Linked DNA regions of Mytilus edulis. The protein of the gene in region 2 purifies or fractionates together with the protein of the main gene of each other region. This does not show direct contact. Links are inferred from orthologs where the notes say so. Each region holds a gene or a part of one and is shown on either strand. Other genes may lie near its edges. The genes, in order: cyclin-F-like and TAR DNA-binding protein 43-like.

Region 1 (13,572 bases), on a different chromosome or scaffold from region 2:
AATCCTGAGGTCAAATCTTTATCACAGGAGTAACCAGGAGTAACTAATGAAAATCCTGATGCAAGAGGTGATGTGTTCATAAATGAGATATTCAAGGTCATTGTTTTGACATTTTTACTGGCAGATGTTGGTTGGATAACAGACTCTTCCTCTGAGCATGAGGAAGCATCAAATCCTTCATCAAGCTTGCTGCAATCACTGAATTCTGAAAAAAAACCACAAAACTTATTTAAACTATATAATCTTAATAAACACTGTAGTCAATTCAATAATCACTATTTCACGATATACTTAGATCTCAACTTGTTTACTTAACAGTTTTCTTCCTATTTTAGCATGGAATTTTGTATGTATTGGTTTATTAATAGTAGTGTCAGACATGTGTTCTTAAATTTAAATACAGTTGTTGATTCGGATGCTTCAATGGTTTATCCCTCATTTTATTTACAAATCGATCTTTTTTATGAAATTGCTTTACAAAAAAATCCATTTGCTCCATCATGATTGTAAGTCTCTCACTGAATCCAAATGTAAAAATATTACATGTAGAAGCAATACCTTGAAATACATTCTATAAAGATGCCTTTATTAATGTTTGAACCCTAATATTTTATAATTTCTTACCTTCTTCCTCTATAAAAGACTCATCTGCATCTTCTTTGTCACCATCATAACCAGACAAAACAGAATCATGTGGTCGAACTCCTTCCATTGTCAAACTATTAAAAGTTCTTCTTTCTCTCATACGGGAATATGGTCTGCAATAGAAAGATAAAAAATTAAGCCACATGTTTTAAACTTTCAAACTGAATCAAATTTCTAAAATGGTCTTCATTCTCATTTTTTTTAGCATTTTAAGTGCATTGAGGTTTTTTAACTTCAAAATCCTCTGTACTTTTACATTTTATGAAAATAAAATGTTTTATATACAAATTTTTAATGTAATTTTCAAATTTTTGTTATAATTTTGATGACATTCAAGATCTAATTATATTTTTCCTTTTGTTTTTTTATTTCATTTTGAGGATTTTTGTAAACTTGTATCTTATTTTTACTTACTTGTCATATTTCCTTTTCTTCCTGGAGGGAGATAAGATGAGCTCATCGTCATTCTTGAACTTGACACGCACATCACATCCCTGAAGTATGTGTTCTGTCACACCTAACATTATGCACAATTCTTCATAACTCATTATCTGAAATACACAAAAAAACATTAGAATCAAGGAGAGATATCATAATTATTTACTTCTACAAATTATACTTTTAAATGACATAATGGAGATAACTTATATTTAAATTTGCTACTTCTAGCATTTATAATATATTCATTTTCAAATGATTTATGTATGAATTTATTAGCAAATATTGTTTTTGTATGTTTTAGAAAACATTTTTCATGAATGCTATTGTTGAAGCTCATTTGATAAAGTGAAATGTAATTTACTTCATTTGACAAACTGTGTATACCAATGTGTTGTCTTTGTCTTGTAAAACGTACCTATATTTATTCTGTGTAACCCGTAGTACATTATAAACTAACACATGATAGTCAAGTCTTACCTGTATTTCACTGACTTTGTAGAACTTTTCTTCAGCATATCTAAGTTTAACAGACTGTAGTTTGACATCTCTATGATCCACAACTGATCCTTCCAAAAAGCTGAAATTGTAACAAAATGAGCATATCAATGACTTTTCTCCATCTTCAACTAACATAATGTTATAGTTACACAGACAATGCTTTCAAAGCATAACGTTTTGATTTCATTATTAAATTCAAGTACAATATATTTGTGGATTCAAAAGTTTTAAACACAAAATATTTTTTGAAAAAAATTGACAATCTTCTAGAAAAAACATAAACAAAAATTAAAGTTCTGATAGCAAAAATAAAACTTACCACTTTTCATGAAGATGGAATGCACATCTACTTATATCTTCTATCTTATATCCTGTAAATAAACTCATCTTTGATGGCCAAGCATTTTCTGAAAATAAATAAATAATAAACTTTTTATAACAGTATAAGGGAGATAACTCTAAAATAAATTGCAACTTTTCAGATCTCTGTCTTAAATACTAATAAAATTAATAGATGTTTTCCCTTCCTCACACTCATTTCTTCAAATTTCGATTTATTTATATTTGAAAAAAAAATGTCTTAGGATTAACAAACAAAGTATTTATGAATCATAAGCATCTTGTTAATACATACCATGCTTCATTAAGACACGAGCTAACAACACACAACTTGCAGCAATCTCTGCAGGGCTATATTGTCCCATCTCAGCCTGAAGAAGGCAAAGTTCACAGATGTATTCAGCTAAGTAACATGACTTCTTATCCAGATCACAGAGTATACAGAATATCTCAACTAAATCAATGCTAGTGATTGTCCTAATGTTGCCCTTCAAGGTAGCAGCTATCTCGCCCATCATTCTGACAATATCTTCATATTTGTATGTACTGTCTGTCAGCCATGCTGCCTCTCTAATTGTGATAATGTCTTTGCCTAAATATCTGAAAAAATAAATTTAAACATTAATTTCATATATCAATGGGGTTTTCTATTTTGTGACCTTAAATTATTGAAACCATAAAAAAATACATCATTTTCAATTCATGTTTGTTTTATTTCAATTTTAACTTGTTCAATTAGAAAGTCAATTAACCAACTTCTATTGAAGGTTTATATATTATCATCAGCAACATCAAAGACGTCAAAATGTATGGTTACCTTCCTTAGAACGACACAAAAAACAACATTTTTATGTTCTATGCATTGACTTAAAAAATATTACTCACCTTGAACAAAGAAGCATAGCAGCAACACCTAATAATTGCAGTTTGGATCGAGATGTTTTGTGAACTTTTAAAAATCTATCCACCATACTAACGGCTACATGGAGTGTATGACTAGAGAAATCTTTCATCCCTGCTACTTCTACTAACCAGTCAACAAGAATGTATCTGAAATAATTGAAAGAAAAAAAAAACACGTTAATAGGGAATTTATACATGAATATTATATTTCAATGTGAAAATCAAGTTCTAGGATAAATATATTATATTTCTAATATTGTTGTTTTGATACGCTAATTTAAAATTACATTAAAGATAAATACAGTTTAAATGATACTATGATGTGATGATGTAGTATTTTTTTTTTTTTTTTTTTATTCATACAGTGTTGGATGCTTTAATTTCATGAATTTACAGACCATACACCAAGCAATTATAATCACATTTAAAAACAAGAATAACCAAATTTCCTGAATTATTATTCTTACCTCATAGATTGTGTTAATTCCTGTGAGGTTTGAAAGCAGTCTTGTGTGTTTGTTGGTGATGTTGTCTGTACCAAATCTTTTACAAAGATAGCTGCCTGGTGTTGAGATAAACCTCCATATTTCCCATGTGCGTAGAATTTACAGAGAGTCAGTTTAGCTTCAAGATAGCCTAAAGAAGTCAAATCCCTCAGTTCTCGTATACTTGTTAATTCTGTTCCTTTGTCCATTACCTATGAATTAAAATCAAGATAGATAAAAATCATCATAGAAAAATAATAAATAAAAAAGTATGCATTCTTTTTAAAACTTTTGAAAAGAGATAATAAATCATTAACTCAAAATCAAGTTCATGGGATTTTCATTCTGATCATTTACAGTTTTTTCATTTTTTTTAATGAAATATATTTCAGCATAAATATCATTTTACAATTCAATTGACGGACTGTAAGAAGTAATGTTCATTTTGATTTCTCTAAGTCTTTGTTTGTATTTACCATTTTATCATATTTCTGTTGCCAGAACATAAATGCTGCCACGCCTGATCCAAGTTCAGCGCCATCCTTCAGATACTGGAATATCTCTGTTTTATCTTCTGATTCCAGTAACATTAATGTCCTAGCTACACATACATGGATATTTTTGTCTTTTGTCTGAAATAATCAATATTCAATGTTAAAGGTTATTGATTCAATTGTGTCATTTGATTTATATTCAAAAGGCACATTCAGTGCTGATAAAATAAATGTTTTACAACAATAATTTTGTAGAAAGATACTACCTCATTGACAATTATCGTAAATCAACATTCATTCATATTTGACTTATTTCCCCTTTTGTGTCATTAACTCAAGAAAAATAAAATGCAAAAAATCAGATTTTCCAAAATTAAAGCAAGCTGATTATATGTTTAAAATGTCCATCATACTTTTCCCCATACTTAAAAATGGTTTGAAAGGTGTTTCACAATAATTAAACCTTATGTCATGAAACTGTAAACATCTCAGACCATTGTCATGAAAATTTCAGTTAATCCTCTGGTCAATTTTGGTCGCAAGATTTTTTTTTAGTAATGCGCTGCTGGTATTATCATTCCTTACCGTTTTAATAAAATCTTTCATGTATTTGAAGACACATTCTTTGCAGCAAGCACCATTAACAGACCATGGCGGTCGTATAAACAGCCATGTAAAAGGATCTGTGTTTGGACTTAGTCCTTCAATTCTACAAAATATATCTGCTGCCTTCTCTCCATTGTTGATGGTCTTCTTTCCTTCCAAATCGGTAGGTACTGAAACAAAAAATTAAATCATATATAATTAAGCTTTCAAAGTATTATTTCATTATCTTTTACTATTAGCACACAAAAAAATTAATTTGTTTTCTTGATTTGGAATTGTTTCAGAAACCAGAACAGACCGGTATGGTATTTTTGGTCAGAGGAAATAGATGAGGCAAAACTAAAAATTATGTGTTGATTGTCTTTAACCTAAACTATAATATTTATTTATTTAGTTTTTCAAACCCTATGTGCATATTTCTTAATTATAGCTTGTACATAAAAACAGCTCTACCATATTGCTTTTCTTTTTTAATCTAATCATGAATTGTTTGTTTAATTGATTTAAGTTACATTTTCTTTTCATCTGTTCATTTTCTTTTGTCAAAACTCTGTTTGTTATAACAAAAAAATATAAATGAACCTGCTATTTTACGTCATACATTGTACAAGTTTTTGTCAGAAGAAATTAACACCTTTATATATAAAATCAACAAAGGGAAGACAAATTTACATGTTCATTTCACACCCCATGTCCTGCGTAAACAAAAAGGACAAATATATAAATAACTTTGTGATAAAAAGGTCTACTTACATCCTTCATTATAGAGGTAGGCAATGGCCATTTTGATCAATGCTTCAAGATTTCCCAAATCTCCAGCTCTGAAAAAGAAACGAGGGTTTAATATATATACAGTGAATCACTACAGCATAATAATTTTAATAGAATAAAACTAAATTATGAACTTGAAACATCAAAATTTCTTTCTATTAATCTATGTTACATATATCTTGAAATGTGTATTCATATGCATACTCTGTCATTTCAACCAGAGTATAGGGGAATGAAACAACATCATCATGTGTAGGTGTAAAAATAACTCATTGCATTGCAAGTCTTCATCATGACAGTTGCTGATGCAGTGTTTGTACTCAAATTATAAACTAGTTCAATGATACTTACTTCTCAAAATGTGGAATGTTTTTCAGTGACGGCCATTCATCTTGAAAACTTGTGGAATTCCAGATCACAGAACTGTTTTCTATTAAATCTTTAAAGTATGGGTGAACCTGGGGAAAGAAAACACTAGTTATTTCAGAACTACTTAAATTGTTATTATTTGTTTTATGTGAATTAATACATAAATATTGAGTCAATGTAAGCAAAATTCTATGCATTCTTACAAAATGATATGAAATTGAAAAATAAATAATAAAAATATTTTGAAAATTTAAACTAACTCTTAACTAACTAAAGTTTTGTGACATGTATCTGAGATGAAGCAGACTATTTGTTGTTGTACATAAAATTAAATCACAATATTATAAAAATATACTTTACTTACAGCTCTCAAATTAAGAACATCTCTGATGTGTAATCCTTTAATAATATACAGCAAAAGTTCTTCAGGTAAATTCCATATTGTCATCTGACTCCGTGTTCTTGGACGAAGATGCATGTGGACTGGGATAAATGTGTTTGGAGACTTTTGAAATTTGCTGAGTGCATTTAGAACTGTAAAAAAATAATGAGCATACATGTAAATTGGTTACAACGGGAAATATGCATGCATGTAATTTAAGTATTAAGTGATTTTGCTGTAAAAAATAAACATTCATAGAATTCTAAAACTTTAAAATTTAATTTTAGCACTTGAATTACAAATGTACAGTAAACATTTGATGCATTTTCATAATTTTACAATGTTGCTATATTTTGATTATGAATTATAAAAGTACTTACGAATTTTTACAAACATGGTTTTCATATAAGGAATGTCAGTTATGATAAAGTTCAAATAAGATCCACATCAAGTATAAGTTATGCAAAATTATCATGAATGTTGAAAGTTTATTTTTGTCATTGAAACATCGATACCGTGAACCTACCATTTATTTTTAGTAACAAGCAGGGTGTCCCCGCTTTTGATTGGTTGTCAATGTAAACAAGCCGGCACTTGCAAAGGTCGATAACCAATGAGCGATTTGAAAATAAACGTGTTTCAATGACACTAATGAATGCTATTCATAATTTATTTAGCACAAGTCTGAACATATTCATCGTCGTATACACCTGTTATCAACTAATAATTAGATAGGTAAAAGTGTTTGATACATGTGATAACAAGAAATCAATAAAACAATAAAATTGTTCGATGAATATCAAACATGTTTATCATTTTGTCTTCGACAGTTCGACTGGACTGGAGCCAGTGGATGTCAGTTCACAAGTTTTCGTCACTTAACATTCTATATTCTTGCAAATGGCACGTCAAGTATGTTACAATGACCGTCAATCACTTTGTTTACCATTTAAATTTACGATAAGCCTACTCAAATTTGGATCACAAGCTGGACCCTTCCTGCATTTGACTGCTTGATGAGTAAACAGAATGCACTCGTCTTTGATGGACTATTGTGATTACTTAAATCTTTATATATCATTATATGGATACGAAGAAACATTTTCATTACCCGAAAAAAATGGATTTTATTATTTTTATCGTGAAAGTTGTAGAGTTCAAATGTTATGATGCATTTTCAGTAACATCGTTTATAACAAAATTAATTTTTGAAACACGCCTTGAAGAAACCGTTATTGAATAGCACATTTAACTCTTCTTTTCCAAAAAGATCTATTTTCTTATGTTGTTATTACTTTCCATTGACAAACTTTCAAAAATTTAAACCGCCCATAATATTTGCCCTGTTATGACCTTTCACTTTCTTTTCTTTAATTTTTATAAATGGCATTTTTTATTGAACATGTAACTTACCTTTCATTACTCTGAATTGCTATAAATTTCATAAATTTAGGCATAAATACGTTATCCAAAAGTTTAAACTCCGAAAAAGTGATGCACCCTATCTTGTCAAAATTAAACACCAACAATCCGAATATACTCGACGCTGATTGGTCAAAATTGTTACACTCGTTTACAAACGAGAGGAAATGGGCTTTCCCCGCCTTTGTGATGTTCATTCAAATATTTAAAAATTGGACACGTGTGTACACAACAGCATCCTCATCGCATACAGTCGAATTAAATCTTTTTATTGCAATTTACTCATAATTTGTTCTAAGAATTTAATTCTTTATATGAAAAATGTATATTGACATTGAAATCCCTGATGGTGATAAAGAAAAGATGCTTTATTATTTTTTTAAATAGGTCACAATCGGGAATCAGATAATTTTTAAACTACAATTTAAGGGGGGTCATTTAAAAAAAGAAGAGAATTTAGACATTAACAATTATTTACTTGTTGTTGAGAATCAAAGAAAATTCGTAATGGGCTACATCAAGTTAGAAGATATCTGATATTTATGTGAAAATGAAATTATTATCTTTATAACGTCATATATATATTTTTAATATTGAAATAAAAATTCGTTTGTTATTTTCATCGTTGAATTTAAAATATAAGGACGCAGATTTAGACATATGTTATTGGTGGCAAGTTAACGGAAGATATACTGGTCAGTCCAAGGATTTTCAGTCTTAACGGAACATATGTAACTGTCCATAATTACATAATATGTCAGCAGATTTCATTTGTGTGAAACGTGTATAAATCCGTCTTTCCCTTAGGGTCAGTTCAATAACTGTAATTCTATATTGTAAATGTATGATCAAATAATGTTTTAACAGCAATCAACGACTGCCTTCGGGTAGCGGCAAAAATAAATGTGTCAAACCAAACACTTACGATTGGAAAATAAATTACCCATGTTTGTCTTCTATTTGTGATCTGATTCTGATGTTAAGATCTTTGAAATATGATGAAAATAATTTTAAAATTTAATATATATATAAGGAATAAGATGTATTGAATATAGTACTTGAATCATCATCAAATTGAGTGAATTGGGTTCAGGACTATGTTGGTCTACTTCAAAGGAAAAGATTAATTGGTGATTACGGCCATACTGTGCCGTGTCTGATCCTGTCGTGGACACTGCAGAGATTTTCACACTACATCAGTGTAATTAATTGATTTGTTGACCATTGGCCAGGTTAATTATATCAATATGTGCATGCAGTGAGATCAGTTAGTTCATTAATTTGATGATCAGTTTAATAGTAATTGCATTAATGAAATTGAACGTTGAAGTTCTTTTGTTTTCACTAGCTGTTAAAATTCAATTTATTTTGTTCAAAAATTTAGATCTCTTTGTGCATATCGTCAATTGAAACTATAATTTTGACAATACGTAACTATATTTATTGGCGTCCAAGATTTATAAAAATGGTTAATGCAACACTTATCTTCACGAATTTTACAATAATTTGGTCATTTCACACTATTTCGCAATAGACTGTCCTTGGACTGTCATACTAATATAATGGTCACATATTTAGCACATCTCCGAAAAAACATATTATATAGCTGAGTATGTAATAAAGAATATAATAAACCAATATGTCAGTTTAGTTGTTAATTATCACAATTAACATCATCACCATTTATTGAGTTTATCAGACTTGTTAATTGCATTCGACTCATGATGATGACACGCGTGCCATTGTAATTTGATTATTATAATATCAAAGATTAAATTTGGTCAAGGATCACTCGACAATAAAAGATACAGCAATACAAACAAATATAGTATAAAACAGACATTAGAAAGTGGGTTATAAAAATGCCTTACTAAAAGTTTTTATAAACAATAAAAAAAAATATATATAAAAAAAATTTACAGCAATTTTTCGTCACATGTTTTTTTTTTACGGATTTGTTGTTTTAACACATCATAATGACACTGACATACATAATCATAATTTAAAGTAATAATATTTATAATCACTTTAAAAATAAAACCATGTCAAAATGATTATCATGGATTAAATGATAAGAACAAGGACATACCCTTAAGATAAACTATCAATCATTGACTATGTTCTTCACAGTTTAAATAGTCACTATCAATTTAATGACATGTAAGATATGAAGAAAAGGGGTTGTAACGGTACAACTAACAACAATATCCTTGTTGTCTTTTGAAAGCTTCAAAATATTAAATTAAAGAATACATCGATGATCGTCTTGCAATGGCGAGTTATCTCGGACAAACCAAGACACTGCTTTAAGTCAAGACAACGCTTAATTGTAATCGGTATACTAAATAGGTTTAAACAATACACTTTTAAAAACCGATTACTTATATATATCAGATCGAGAACATCTTATAGTAATGTGACATAGATATGAACCCCGCTTTGTACATAACCGACATGGCGACCATGACTCTGTGTTTAACGTGCTATAAGTAACTATAGGTGAAGTTCACAGGAAGACATCTTATTACTCTGCCCAGACACACAGTTCTGACCCTGCGATCAGACACGTCTTTGCTCTTAGTGCCGTCTGTGCTTAGGGGAGTAGCAGCAGATATCCACAATTTTCAAGTCTATAACTTTAACCGTCCGGAATTAAATTACGACCGTTTGCATAGGAAAGTAGCAGGCTTCCAGGAGACAAACATGGTGGGTTAAAGAAAAAAGAGACAAGGCATAAATGAGATAAAATATTACAGTTAATATTTTTTAGTTGATAATATAACTTTACTTAAACTAGTACACTTCATTTTAAAAATTTCGGAAAGAAGAAGCAGTATGTTTTTTATTTGCATTTTTTGTTTGTAAAATGCATAACGTCTAGAACGAACGCCAGGCACTAAAGACGTGAGATGTATAAATACTGAATAACCATTCAAAAGAAGGAGCCTGTAATTCAGTGATTGTCGTTTGTTGCTATGTTGCATATTTGTTTTTCGTTCATTTTTTGTACATTAATTAGGCCCTTAGTTTTCTCGTTTGAATTGTTTTTGTCATTTTTCATTGCTGGACCCTTTCTGAAATACTATGCGGTATAGGCTTTGCTCATTGTTCAAGGCCGTACAGTGACCTGTAGTTGATAATTTCTGTGTCATTTGATCTTTTTGAATGAGTAGTCTCGTTGGCAATCATACCACATCTTCTTTTTCATAATAGCAAACGATATAAATGTATTGTATTTTACATGTACGGTTTTTTATGAATTATTAGGTGTCTTCATTTTTAAGAACAATTATTAAATGCTTATAAGGAGTAAGCATGTTGTCATGAAGTCACACATTTTAAAAACATTTAATTTTGTTCAAGTTACATGCGTATATTGGTTATTTGTGTTTGATTTAGAATTGACAGTATTTGTACCAAGAGCGATAACTCTAATTTGTTCTTATGACTTGAACGCAGAGCACAGATAGATAAATGTCTACTTGACCAAGGATTTGTATAGTATTGTTTACTATACAAATCCTTGACTTGACTAATCGGTTGACTTCATTAGTTCAGAATTAAGGTCTTAGTATTAACAAAACTTATATCTACACATGGTTTTCATATGGTATATTCCATTCCTTGGATTTTTTTTCACTTATTTTATTCGAAGCAAGGAAATTATCTAAAGGCTTCTATATTATTTTACTGATACAGGAAAACAGGTGAACCTTCATTATTCATAAGGATACTATTATAATGTTCCCTGTCTCAGCATTCTTACTTGCATATCACCACCACAGAAAAAAAGACACGTTGAGAAACTGCGACGAGCTTACTGGAAATATATAGAGAGTATAGTAACAACACAACAGATCGATCACAAACTTTAAGGCACTAGCAAGGAGCATTTTTGAATCAACATAAAACAAGATACCGTGACGTTTAAAGATATTATATGTCTCTGATCAAACAAAAGACCTGAAATTTGATAAAAACTTTATCAACACGCAGATAGATTTCAGCAAAGCATTTGATAAAGTGTTGAACACAGTCTATTAACACATGAATTTGGATCCAAAAGTTCCCAAGAGACAGAAAACAAGCTGTACTCTATTGTAATGGAATTTGATGCGATTGTCATAGAAGTGAGAGGTTTAGCTACTTTAAAACCAGGTTCAATCCACCATTTTCTACATAAGAAAATGCCTGTACCAAGTCAGGAATATGACAGTTGTTATCCATTCGTTTGATGTAAAAGAGCTATTGATTTTGCCATTGATTTGGGACTTTCCTTTTTGAATTTTCAAGGAGTTCAGTATTTTTGTGTTTCTTCTTTTTGTGACAAAATAATTGATAAAAATCTCAAACTAGGTTGGACACTTTTATTAAACGTTGAGTGGTATCAATATCATTACTACAAATTATAGTTGGGTAGAGAGATGAGAGAAAAGAACAATAAGCAGACCATGCTATATTACAAACATATCAACAAAATTTCAATATTTCAACACCTATTGTATTCTAGATTTTCCTGTTGCTGATTCCAGCCTTTCTTCAATTGATTGTGAGTTTGCTTCCTCCTTTATTGTGCATGGTATAAGTCAATACGATAGCTAGAGTTTCACGCTACGATAATAGTTGTCACAATAGAACAGTGTGAGGATGTTTAAAGTGACAGGAACATCAACAAAGCCTGGAAAAATTTTTACACCTCTGAATTACAGTAAGGAGGTACAGCATAAAAAAAGATACAGCATTTTATCAGTTGAACATTTTACCTGAAGGCCAGATCGTTAACCTAAAATTTCAACAAAAGCCACCTGAAATCGAGGATACAACTATACCGTGTGTGCAGGAACCGTGGACAGTTCCACCGCAAATTAACTTTCAGTCTGTTTTTTACCAACCAACTGGATCTGTATACCAATCAACAACCAGTTGACCGCCTGTTGTGTCGAGAACTTTACAGCCAACAAAAGTTGATCGATCGAAAATTCCGCACACCTTGCTGGTTAATTCAAAAGGACCAACAACAACTGGACCAGCGCCACCATCTCTTTCAAATACTGGTACTCCGTTGGCAGTTAATACACTCCCGCTGCCTCCTTTACAGACACCGTCTCACCTTTCAGCCAAAGCTGTATCAACTACAACGACAGCAGTAACAGTTGGGACAGCAGCAGCAACAACCGTTCCAGCTACATCTACATCAGCAGTTTCGATAACATCTGCACCAACAGCAGCAGTCCCAACCATATCATCAGTAATTTCAGCAGGTTGGACAATAATACCTTCCCATGCTGAACATCTATCTTAAAGATTGAGAAATTTATAGGCGACAATTCGCAAAATCCTGAAACATGTTGAAATGATTAAAAGCAATATTGTTCATGTTATGTCGTGGAATTGTCAAAACAAAAGACTGCCGAGTCATCCCCTTTCCATTTAGGACACCATGTCAGAATTAAGTATGTCACTTTTTAACTAATTTTGACGAATTGCATGATCTGTTTTCAAAGAAAGATTCAAAGAATAGCAACGTTTGTTATATATATATATATATTTACACCTTACAATATTACAAATTCATCAAGAGGGACTTAATTTATCAAAGTTGTTAAAACTCATAGAAATATATCTGACCATATATTACTGAATGGGTTAAGGTCTGATTTTAAAACAATTGTCATGACAAAAGAACTCCAAAACATATAAAAGTTTATATATTGTCTTAATTAGCAACTGTTTTGTTTGTTCTGTCTTGTGGTAAATATTGTACATAATTGAGTATTTGACTGTCTTCTCTATATCTATGTATATGTTTTATTGAGAATAAAGATATATATATAGTTATAGCTTGTCGCAATTTTAACCAAAAGGACAGTGAACCAGCGAACATACATATCTTCATTTTGTCGAAGACAAGTGCCTGTTTACATATGCTTTTTTAAATACCAATCATAAATGGACTTCACATTTTATTGTTTTGAAGTGACATTAAAAAAATAGAGACAAAGTATACACGAGGGATAGGGTCCTTAATTTCTGTATTCTCTATTTTTATGCCACTTTTCTCTATTCTTCTTTATATTTTTATCCCATTATTCTCTTCTTTTTTTGGAAATGGGGAATGTGTCAAAGAGATAACAACCAGACCAAAGAGCAAACAACAGCCGAAGGCCACCAATTGGTCTTCAATGCAGCGAAAAACTCCCGCAACCGGAGGCGTGCT
Region 2 (12,942 bases):
ATATTTCAATCAACTTCTTATACATACAGGAGAAAGATCATTAATATTGTAGCCCCAAAAATAGTAAAGTGTGTTATAAATTGCCTGTTCCCAAAAATTAGGGCTTTTCTTTTTCTTCAATAGTTTTCATCATGATGTTCTTAGAACTGTTGTTTTAAATGTAAAACTTTCATTAGCGTTTGTACATACATAGAAGGTTTATGGTTGTATGTCATCAGCAAATTTGCAAACACACATGTTAAAACAAGTCATAGCTGGGTTTTTTTTTATCATCATCCATGGTCACAAAAACACTTTATATAAATAGTGCAAATTAGACTTCTTACTTTAGAAATAAAACACAACAACTTTCACAAAGTGAACAGCAAACAGACAAATCAAATCAAAATAGTATCATAACAACAACAGTTTGCCCTAAATGAACCCTTAACAAAATCATCTACATTTTAAATACCAATATTTAAAAAAAAAAATATTACCTCCCCTTCCCAGAAGATTTGTTGCATTTAGTGTCATTATAAATAGATTTAAAATCACTAGCTTGAAAACAACGTTTTTCATTAAAGTGTAGCTATCTCAGTTCAGCAACTGTCATATGCATGTAAAAGATGAATCCTGTGTTATTTTCATGCTACTAGTGTTGGCCATTCTTTCTTAATAATATCATGACTATTAATTTATCTAATCAGGCTAATATGAATGCATTTTATTATCAGAGTACTCTGCAATAAACTATTTTTCACAAAACCTATCAGGAATCAGATTCTCTAATTGTTTTGGTTCTACATTGTACCTTGGACTTTAAAATTCTTACAAAAAGTGCTCAAAATTTGCTGTCTTCCGAATAGTATTTGCAGATGAAATAAGTCAGATAACTTTTCGCAAGAAGACTTCTGATGTGCAATGTAAGCACAGTCCTTTAATTTTTCAAATTTCAAATGAAAATCTACATTGAATAAATTTTATATGATAGTAGCATTTTTTTCTTACATGTTGTTAAAGGGAGATAATAAAGATTTTCCAAATTAATACAAAGTAGGAAATTTCTTGACGCAATCAAGTTTTTCCTTTTTTTTTTTATATGAACACTACAAGTAAACAAATAAAGTTCTAAATGCTTTATTGATACATTATTTATGTTGAATTCTTAGTTTGGATTTTGTTACAGATGGTTACTTAGATATAGTTATCAAGTTATCAAACAAAACCAACTGAAATAGACGTGACCAATTTCAATAGAATTAATATTTGTTGATTAAATATATCTTGATTAAAACACCAGTATTTAGATATACATTTCCACATATTTAACTCACAGCATGCCATTATTAAACTTTATCATTCCTAGAAATAAGCACAGAACCATCACACCAGTGTAAGTGCATGTATGTGTTACCTTGGAGTTTGGTATTCTAACATCACACCAGTGTCAGTGCATGTATGTGTTACCTTACAGTTTGGTATTCTAACATCACACCAGTGTCAGTGCATGTATGTGTTACCTTAGAGTTTGGTATTCTACATGTAACATCACACCAGTGTCAGTGCATGTATGTGTTACCTTAGAGTTTGGTATTCTAACATCACACCAGTGTCAGTGCATGTATGTGTTACCTTAGAGTTTGGTATTCTAACATCACACCATCTTCCATCAATCATGTGCCTCTGTGTCATACATTTAACTTGGGATTCATAGTCGCCAAACCGAATGAAACCAAAACCTTTAGATAGTCCACTTTTAGGATCTTTCTTCACCTGAATTGAAAATAAAATATAGATAGATTAATACAATGAATTGTAAAATATATAATGAATTTTGATTTCTGTTTTAGGGGGAAGCTTACACATTATTTGCATCTGTTATGTTCCACATACACATAAATGTCTAAATATTTTGGAAATTTAAGTACCGTTATACAGTGTAAGTTTTTTGCTGTCTGCCGCCTGAAGAGGAATATATGACAGATTTCTAATGCTTTAAAAACACAGAAAGATCAAGAGTTATCTCCCTTGTTACAATAACTCTATTATCTCCCTTGTTCAAAGAAGCTTTATCATTGTGGAAATGAACTCAACTGCATCAAACTTTTTGACATAACCAAAAAGATGTTTTACTAGACAAGTCAATAATGGTATTCATGTGTACATACTATGATACATGTACTACAAAACTTAACTTTCACGGAATAACTTGTTCATGCTTTTTAATGTTTTGATATCATAAACACAAGTATAATCTCTCATTATGCTCATACCGGTAATAATATAATTAAATAATAAAATCTATACAGAACATGTTATTTATCAAATATAGTAAAGTTTGTCCTACTAGCATGTAAATATACAAGGAACGGAACGAAAAACAAAGCTCTCCAAGCGTTTCTGTTGTTTTATACAATGTAGCTAGTGTACAATTTTTAATATTTTCAGACAATAAACATACATGTACATGACATACAATGTATATATCTGTATATTATTTTATCCTGAATTAAGGTAGCACAATACAAAGATTTTTTTACTTCCAATCACTAACCTTTGAAATGCTGTAACTTTCTTATGAATGCATAGAAAATAATAAAAGAGGTATACATAGATAGATAAAAGATTAATCTTTTAAATGAATGCAATATTTTTATTATGCAATCATTATGTCATCAATTATTATGTAATTAGTGGCAAAATCTGGGTAAGTTCACTTGAATGAATTTAGCTCTATCATCTCTTTAACTATACAGAAAATTTTAACGAAATCTTAATCAACACATCATGGGCTTCAAAAGGGTGTCTCAGATTGTCTCTATGGTATTCCATTCTCTCATAAATCTCTAATTAGTGTAAACATCCTAACCACATAAATGAAGATAATGTTTAAGTAGGTGTAAAATTTGTTCTATACATTCTATCTGAAATCTGAGACACCCTTTTGTAGATAATGGCCATAGGAACAACATATAATAAAATCAACCCTCTAGGGATACCTATGCAGAAGCTAATTTCATTTGAAAGTGGAAATTTGGTGAAAAATATTTAAGACACAGTTAACATTATAATTGGTTACATAATTGTTGCATGATACTAACATTGCATTAATTTGAAAGAGTAATCTGTTAGCTATCCAAAACTACCACTTTTATAAATTTTCAAGCATTATTAAGAAAGTTACAGCATTTTGAAACTTGGGAGTTGGAGTTATAAAATCTTTGTATTGTGCTACCTTAAACTTTTACACTTGATTATTTTAGAAGATCTACAAATGTATACATTTGTTAGTATGCAAAGTGAAACCTGCAGATTGGTTTAATTTGTAATTTCATATTTGCGACATGTACATGTACAAATATAAGGATTAAATGCTTGAGATCAGCTGTGTTTGTTCTCGATGCTGTCATCAATTGGTCCTTTAATTTACGATTCATTTAACAAAAAATGTTCTCCATCACATCATTCATTCACTTGCTAGACACAAAAAGCTGCAATCATACATGTAATATACATTAAGATAATTGTTTATAATTGACAGGAAAACCTAACTAGTATTCTGTTCTGAATATAAGTTTTAAACACTTAATGTACAAACCTGGACCATTAACAGTTCCCCAAAATTTGAAAAATATTTTCTCAGGTCTTCTTCTGTACTTTTCCATGGTAATCCTAGGACAATAAGGTCACTGCATCTCTTTTTGTCATACATTTTCTTCCTGTTAATGACAGCATTGTCTGCATTGATTGGTTCCTGGTCCACAGCTGTTGCATGAGGTTTCTTTTTGTTTTCAGCTGAAAATACATGAAAATATTTACTTGCAATTTTACCTTGAAACATTACCCCTACAGATATCTATGAAAAGTGTTGCAGTTACTATTTGCATACATTGTACATAGAGCATAATAATCCCGGCCATGTCACAGAGAATTGACATGGCAGAAAAATACAGTAACCTCTGAGTCTCTGCATTGATCTCAGTCATGTCAAACACTTCAAAGTTCAATCTTTTTAAAACTTTATATCGGTTTAGTTGGCCTGTAGTCAGAGATCATTTTTAAAGACCCAAATGCAACTTAACAAGCCTAGGCTGCTGGGCCAGTGGTTAGGTGTAAAGACTGTGGAGACATCTTAGTTTTTCAGGAAAATGCAAAATTTGAACAGTGATTAGATTTTTACAAATAACAAGACTTTTGTATAATAATAAAATGAGGATCAATGCTTTTATCACCTTACACATGTTAAAATATGACAAAACTATAAGCTACATTGTTTTTGTAACATATTCGAAACATATACACTGAAATGTTGTTTATATAAATCATGTTAATATACATGTGTATCATATTCTTTAAATCTTTTTCTACTATAATCATATCTCTAATTATCTGGTAATAACATGTACATGTATATATGTACTTCGAGATTCCGCCAGTGTAGACGCACCCCTTGAATGACTACAAGGGTACAGCGGATCCATGTACACTCCCTAAGGATTAATGGAGATGTGTCCTTTTAGATTACATTATTAACCCACCACCAGAACAATCTCCACCCCAACACCACCCAAGGGAGCTTGTAGGTCACCTAAAAGTCTGTTATTATGGTGGAGGAAGCTGAAGTATTTGGAGAGAACCACAGGGCTTCTCTGCAGCAACAGACAACCTGAAGAGATTTCAGAAGATTGATCTCCAGGTCAAGCTGGGAACAACTTTGACCTACCGAGGCCCCCCCCCCCCAAGTATCCAATCTAGTTTAAACTCCGGTCTGGAATGGATACCAGAGATGTGTGTGGGAGGGTAAAAATCACCCTACTAATGTACTGAAAATTCAACATCTCGAACCCACAAAACAGTATTAAAATTTATTATACATTTGTTATGTACATTGTACATGTAGTATATAATAATAATTATAAAATATAATCTATAATAACTAGTGGCAGTCAACATGGTCAAGACACATTTCTGATATAATAATCTGCAGTCTAATGGGGGTCTCATTGGGGGGTTCCGATCCCGGATCCCGCTTACTGTTTTGTCAGATTCCCGTATCCCGCTTACACTATGTACATAAGCAATTCTCATTTTTTTGTCATTTCCCGTGTCCCGCAAGACCTAATTTCCCGTTTTCACGCCACAATTATTTGACTTTCACGTGTCACGCTTACAAAAAATCGGCAATCCCGGGTCACGCTTAGACCCCAATGAGACCCACTCTAATATCCACCTTCATACCTGAATATAAATTATTAAAATATAAATGTATACATGGTATGCACCAGTGACCTTGTGTGTATTGAAAGCAACTTTTGCAGTGTTTAAATAATGATGAATAAACTGTCAAGAAATTATGATGTAAAAGTGTACACTTCTAAGAAGCAGCTACATGTACATGTTAACACTAAATATCTGCCTTTAACCTAAATTAAATACAGATATTTCAACATTTACATGAGTGTGTAACTTTTTACTTCTTAAATTACTTTTTTAAGTGTCTTCAATATGTTCATGATGTTATGTTGTCATGTTATGATTTTAAAGCTTAACTAAAATAAGGGATTCTGGAGTCACCTTTATACTAAGTTAGCTCAGGAAGTATTCATATCAAAATATTGAATAAATAAATAGACCAGAAACAAAAATCCCACAGAGATATAGACTGAAATATTTAAAAGCAAAACGTCAACAATACGGTTATCTCCCTTAGCTGTCAAACACAAAGTTTTCAACGACCTTCAATATTTTATTAAAAGTAGCATATAAATTGATACTGTAGCCAAAAATACCTATGCAGTTATGTACAATAATGATTACTGCATCATACTGCATACTTAACTAATCAAAATTCTGTGAAAAATTCGAAAAATTAAATGATTTTGTCGAAGCGTCTGCTTGATGTTCGGAGGCCAACTGGGTTCCAGTTTGTAAACAATATTTGAAAACACTTACATTTAGGAAACACGGCAACATAAATCCGGTTTGCCCATTCCGTATCAGGTGGATATAATCTCCCGTCTGAAAGTCTTATGCCTCGCATAGCACCGGTATCGGGATTTCTGTATTTTAAACCACAGGCACCAGGAAACTGAGCTGACAGGGTAGACAGCAAGAGAGTTCCGTCGTCTTCGCTCGGGACTTCCATAGGCTCTTCGCCCTCCTCCTCTGCGACTTGAATATACTGACTCATTTCCCTTATAAATTAGACACACTTTCGGAGCATTGAGAATCAAAAATGTCTCTAATTTTGGGGTAACCCACTGTGGTCCCGAACTGAAGGTGCGCGGCGTACCAAGATGGCGTCTTCTGTTGACAATTTAAGCGATACTAGCGCCATCTTTTAGTGACCTAAAAAATTTAATTTTCATTTTAGAGTTGTCGTTCTTTTATCTTCAATCGGTTGTCGCTGGAATCTTTTAGAAATTTTTCTATAGTTCTATCTAAAGATTCCTTCTCAATCTGTGACTTTCAGATCTTTTAATGAATACTTGATTAGTGCAGATGTTGACAATTTGTGGTTAACATTTTTAATAACATAAAAGATATTGACAGTAATGCTTTGTTCTTGCAAATCAGTGAATAGGGGGAGGGTATGGCATAAACATGCGCATATCCAATACAAATTCTTTTGGTTTGCGTCCTGTTTTAATTTCTTATTGGACAGTCGATTTTAATTTTTCTTGCATATAAGTCTTTTCATTGAGATATAAGTTATTTGCTATTTAATTAGTACTTAATTGATTTTACAGAGTTTAAATGTAAAACCTCATTGAACTCTTTATGATACTAGATTACATTAGGGTACTCAAATTGCACCTTATTTTGACATTTTTGCACCTACATTTTTTTATTTAAAGTCCACAAAAAAGTTTCCAATCTGATTTTTTATTATTATTATTATTTGGTAGACATATCCTTATTTACTTTATATTACACCAGTCACCATTTTAATAACATGTTTAAATTTTGAATCTATATATATATATATATATACAACTCGTCTAAACATCAACCCAACAATGTTAGATCTGTAAATTTGCTTTCGCAAATTTTTGGTTCTTCCCTCGCCGGGATTCGAACCCATGCTACTGTGATATCGTGACACCAAATCGCCTGCACTGCAGCCGTCCCGCTAGACCACACGACCACCTGGGCTCTCAAAAAAAAGAGCTTTCGGTGGGCATGTGTTACCTTTCCACGTCAGTTTTAATCTAGCGGCGTACTACAGTACATGATATATATATATCAGTCTAAAGATTTGCACAACCGTACTGATATAAGATGTTATAATACGAAAATGTTGTTATTAAATCGTGCTGACAAATATTTCGGCTCAACAAATGGCCTTCTTCAAGTGTCACAAGTTTTAACAATACTGATACATAATGTATAAGGTGTAAAAATAATATATATATATGATCTGGGAACAGTATATCTATATGTTCCTGATATGATATATTGAACTCGAGATATTGAATCGTAGCAAAACTAGTTTGAATCGACCTACAACATAAGCGATCAATGATTCTGTGACGAAGATCTAGAGTACCTAAATTGCATCCATGCTTAAATTCACACCAATTAAAATCGAATAAAAGATGTTTTGTCATTTTTCTTCATATATTTAGAACAATTTGACATTAGTCCAGGCTTAATATTTATTTTTCTGGAAATAGATGCTTGGAAAATATTGTATTTGCTCATTCTTAAAAGATGACTTTGTGAACATCGCATTTTCCAGTAAATGCTTCATCTGTTGATACTGTAGTGTACATATATACTGTGAACATTTTGTGTATATTTACATATACATGTATGTAAAAATGTATGTACCTATGGTTAAAGACGTGTACATGCATAATGTCAAATCATAAAAAATACAAACTGTTTCTCTCAAAGAAAACTTGTTATGAAAACATTGAAACTCTGGCTAGAAATATGTGTTATGAGATGCACTTGCTGCGCACAAAAAGGATTAAAAAAAACTTGATCACAAGTACAGTATAAGTAAATTTTTTAAAATAAAATAGTTCCTTACTTATAGTATATCATCTTAATATTTTATGACTTCTGCTTCTGCTTCTGCTTCTGTCAGATAATGGCCACATTTAACGAACTGATTATACTGCCATGGTTTGGTGCGCATATTAGACCACCCCTCCCCCAAAAATTTTGAAATTTAATTCAGCTTTGTCATCGAGGCTTTAAAGGCCTCGACTGACGGAGCTGATACGACCCCAGGGGGAAGAGCGTTCCAATCCCGGATGGTTCTTCGGAAGAATGAGTGTTTCCTATAATCACATGATGCTGCTGGTACTTGGAAGGATTTGTCATGCATGTTTCGTGATAGTCTTTTCAGTGGTATTAGACGACCTTCCTTTGATATGGCCACTTTGTTGTTTTCTATTTTGAATAGCATTGTGAGTCTCGCTTCTTTCCTTCTTTGTTCAAGTGATGTCCATTTGAGATGTTGTAGCATCAGATTAACGCTGGAGTGGTTATGATGTTTGTTGGATACGTAGCGAGCTGCTCTTCTTTGTACCATCTCAAGTCTGTCAGTCTCTGTCTTGAGATATATGGATCCCATACCGGACTGGCATATTCTACAATTGGACGTACCAATGTTTTATATGCATTCTCCTTCACTGTAGTTGATCCTATATTTAAATTTCTTTTTAGGAAACCAATTGTTCGCGCCTCCGTTGAAATTCTGCAAACACCCCATAGAGCAAATTACATGGATGATTAATTTTGACCATTTGGTATATGGCCATGTTCTTAGCGACACGTACATGAAGGTTATACATTAATTTCTTGAATGAAATCAAATCTTTAGCTACTAATGACTGCCGTAGGGGGTCGACCGGAATTTTTAGCGAGGATTTCTTGGCATGATTTGCCTTGTTTCAAATGTTATTCACATGTTCATTCCATCTGAGATCGGATGTAAACATGGTAAATGTGCAGCCTAGGTATTTTGCACTACTGACTGACTCAATAATTTGACCATGTAGGCTGTATGAAGTTGCAATTGTGTTGTTTTTCCTGCTGATGGTAAGTACATTGCATTTGTCAGGGTGGAATGACATTTTCCATTTTGATTCCCATGTTCCAAGTTTGTCCAGATCTAGCTGTAAATCATGTGCATCTTTGTCTGATGATATCGTGAGGTATGCTATTGTGTTTTCTGCAAATAGTCGGACTGTAGATTTAATTCCATCTGCCATGTCGTTAATGTAGACCAGGAATAATGAAGGCCCAAGTACTGAGCCTTGGGGTACTCCTGACTCTACATCAATACGAGATGAACTTTCTCCATCCACAACTACTGTCTACTTGGGTTCTATTAGACAGGAAACTAGTGATCCACTTATTTACATTTCCTCGGATACCATAGTGTTCCAGCTAATGCATCAGGAGACTGTGACCAACCTTATCAAAGGCTTTCGAAAAGTCCATAATGAGAACATCCGTTTGCTTTCATGCGCTCATGTTTTTTGTGATGTCATCCACAAATTCAATCAGCTTGGTTTCGCATGATCTTTTGCTACGAAATCCGTGTTGTAATGGATAAAGAATGTTGTGGATATCTGCATGTTTCATAATATGACTAGTTATTATGTGTTCCATGAGTTTATAGCAGATGCATGTCAGAGATATTGGTCGATAATTCTCTGCCTTGTATCTCTCTCCTTTCTTGAAGACTGGACTTACGTTGGCGTTCTTCCAGTCAGATGGTACCTCCCCAGTATTAAAGTGATGTTGTAAAGATGATAGTTAGAATTTGGGCTATCTCGGTTGCAAGTTCTTTTAGTATTCTTGGTTTTAGATTGTCTGGTCCTGAAGCTTTATTTGGATAAATAAATTATGACTTATAAGTATTTAAAAATATATCTTCTCTTTTTAAAAATTGCAAGATATCAGTTATAATTTCAAAAATAATGATAAGATCTCCATATAGTAAATCAAACTGGGAAGAAAATTTATGTATATATTATAGCTTTAATTTTTTCCAAACCCCAACCATTTTACATAAATCTTATAAAATGACATTTTCATTATAGATCCTGATATATGTATAGCACTCTTAACTAATAATTATAAGTAAGTTTAATACGAGACCATTTTAATTCTTATTTGTAAATATATGCAGTTGTTACTTAACGTTTTCTTACACCCCAGCACATATGAATTTAATATATTTTTTTTAAACTTTATGATGACAACCCTATGAATTAATTATGATATTTATTATTTAGTGATTATTATAACCAAATTCAGTCATCTGTATATAATTAAATGTTTCCTTATGTTTTAAGGTGTACATAGTTGCTAAAACTATACCTTTTGGGTAGTGCTCCACAATTAATGAAGGAATATACAAGCAACTGAACTGAACTGAACTGTTAGACAAATGTAGGATTTCCGCAGCTATTTTTTGTTGACTAGGTGCAATAAGTGTACTCGATGCACTTGAGTACTTTGACGTTAGACCAGTAGTGTCATATAGATATAAATTTGTAAATATAAAAAAAGAAGATGTGGTATGATTGCCAATGAGAACCTAGCTTTAGCCACGATCGCACTACGATCTCTAAAAAATGCAAATTTTGACGATCGTAGTGCGATAATGTAGATCGCAGTAAGGTCGTGTTACGGTCATGGTGAGGTCTTTATCCTCTTTATGATCGTGATGATCGTGGCCAACTTTGAACATGTTCAAAACAATCGTGGTGAAATCGGGTTGTAGTAGAAGCGTAGCGAGAGCGCAGTAAGGTGGTAGTAAGATCGCAATGGTCGCTGTACCATCGTGATGGGAGCGTAGCGAAAGCGCGATTCTAATCAGAGAGATGATTGCGCTACGATCTCACAGCGATGTGACGACGACCTCAATACGACCATCAAGTTCTCCCCGCGACCCAACAACGCTTCTACTACTACGACTATACCACGCATATACTACTACTACGACTATACCACGTATATACTACGCTGTTCAAGACCATAGTACGGTTTTAGCACGCTCATGCCGTCCTCATCCGCAATGCTCGTCTTACGACCTGACTACGTTCATACTACGAACGTTTCCAGTTCTAGCCATGCTCATAGTCATTTTCACTTAAACTATATAACAGCTATCCATGTTTTGTTTGTCTGTTATGTAATTTGGACCTTATGTCTCTAATTTTCAACAGCTCATTCAATCATTCTTGACACATCTGTATCATTCCCACTAATGTTCAATACAATATCGTCATTTGATCTTGAATGATGGATCAGCAATACGTTGTGATTCAGGTCTCGATTGGTTGATCCGACATCTCTATTGGATCATGGTTCGTATGAGAGGCCCCTTTGACTCCACCACTACCCCTACCACCACGCCCACTACTCCTTGTAGATGTTGGTGGCATGCTCGTGTGGTTTTCAATAATTTTACGTATTAATGACAATTGGAAGGAATGGAACAGTATTTATATGGAACATATTGCTAATAGCGTAGTTGGATCGCGGTATGAACGTGGTAAGATCGTAGAATGATCGTGGTAAGAGCGTAATATAATCGCAGAAGAAGCGTGGTAAGATCATGTTATAATCGGATAAATCGTGGTATGGTCGCTGTGAGAACGTGATGAGCGTAGTAAGATCGTGATAATCGTAGTGAGGTCGCAGAATGAACATGGTTAGAACATGTAGAACGGGGTATAATCGTATCGGGCTCGTTGAAGAAGCGTAATGAGGACGAAGTAGCATCGTGAAAACAACGAAAATCTACATTTTCATGCCGCTCATACCGCGACCTCACTACGATCTGAATTTATTTTTGATCGCGGTGAACGTGGTGCGATCGTGGTTTAGTGTGACTGGGACATAATTAAGAGGAACAAAAAAGGAAAACAACGCGAATTGATACAAAATAATGGGCATGCAAGATTTAACATAGAAGTACATCTGTCTGCACGTTGAAAGATGAATAAAATTCATGGAGACATTTTTTTCTTCTTCATATTTTGTAAATAAAGCTAAAAAAAATAGTTAAAAGACAAAATTTGAAATAAATATCCTCGCTATTCCTGGGAAAACTTTGAAATACTGAATTTTTGCATTTTTTTTTTAAATTTGACCTTTTGGTGACCTTTCTGCACTTTAACTTTAAGTAAATTTGAGAGGTCAACAATAGCATAATCATAACAGAGTTGGGGTAATTGTAATTGTAATCATTAATCAGCTGTTATTGATTACAATTTTTCAAGTAATCATTGTAATCATTAATCAGCCCTAAATCTGATTACATGTAATTTAATTTAATCAATTACTTTTCAAAATACCCTGTAATCCTGATTACTTTTTGATTACATTCTGATTACAATGCAAAAAATCTAAAACTGTGTTTGATAAATTAACCTTGTAGGTATTCAAATTAAATGATTATTTAACATGTTGAAATAGTTTTGTCTTCTTTAAGCATGTTAATTGATTTGTATAATTCAGTAAAAACTAAGCTCTCGCAGTGTTGAAAAGTCATCATTAGCCTTAGCAGAAACATATATGTCTCTGACCCTAATACAAGATATTGTACATATATTCACAATTTAAAGATGTACATAAATACATTTGATAGTTATTGTTATATTCAAGTGATATTTTTCATTAACCCTGAATTATAATCTTTTGTAAATATTGTGATTTTTGTCAACTTTGAATTGACAGGTAGGAGATCAATTAAGGTTTGTTTTTATTGCAATTATCAACTCTATTGTGTATAGCTGTAGGGCAATATATATGATAAAAGATAATTATACATTTGGAAATTTATCTAATTAGCACAAACCAAATTAAAATGTTGTTTAAAATAAATAGAGTAAGTAAGTAAGTAAGTAAGTAAGTAAGTAAATTATTTATTATAGTGACATGTGTAAATATGTACAGATTATAAATATACAATATATGATAAATATT

The links.
Region 1: the proteins of TAR DNA-binding protein 43-like (region 2) and cyclin-F-like purify together in Homo sapiens (affinity purification with western blotting; 3 studies listed by BioGRID, with this or other methods). This does not show direct contact. The link is inferred for Mytilus edulis from reciprocal best matches to the Homo sapiens genes TARDBP and CCNF.

Annotation. Positions count from the first base shown.
Region 1 is NC_092352.1:40,404,621-40,418,192, forward strand, and holds the start of cyclin-F-like, read right to left. Parts: upstream 6,471-13,572; 5' UTR 6,339-6,470; coding exon 6,314-6,338; intron 6,086-6,313; coding exon 5,916-6,085; intron 5,641-5,915; coding exon 5,534-5,640; intron 5,233-5,533; coding exon 5,165-5,232; intron 4,582-5,164; coding exon 4,391-4,581; intron 3,944-4,390; coding exon 3,788-3,943; intron 3,524-3,787; coding exon 3,294-3,523; intron 2,974-3,293; coding exon 2,809-2,973; intron 2,524-2,808; coding exon 2,219-2,523; intron 1,992-2,218; coding exon 1,904-1,991; intron 1,664-1,903; coding exon 1,564-1,663; intron 1,197-1,563; coding exon 1,060-1,196; intron 759-1,059; coding exon 625-758; intron 206-624; coding exon 1-205. UniProt on the Homo sapiens protein: Substrate recognition component of a SCF (SKP1-CUL1-F-box protein) E3 ubiquitin-protein ligase complex which mediates the ubiquitination and subsequent proteasomal degradation of target proteins.
Region 2 is NC_092356.1:48,442,226-48,455,167, forward strand, and holds the start of TAR DNA-binding protein 43-like, read right to left. Parts: upstream 6,328-12,942; 5' UTR 6,173-6,327; coding exon 5,935-6,172; intron 3,778-5,934; coding exon 3,581-3,777; intron 1,756-3,580; coding exon 1,615-1,755; intron 1-1,614. Other genes in the region: uncharacterized protein, read right to left, coding at 8,162-8,569. UniProt on the Homo sapiens protein: RNA-binding protein that is involved in various steps of RNA biogenesis and processing.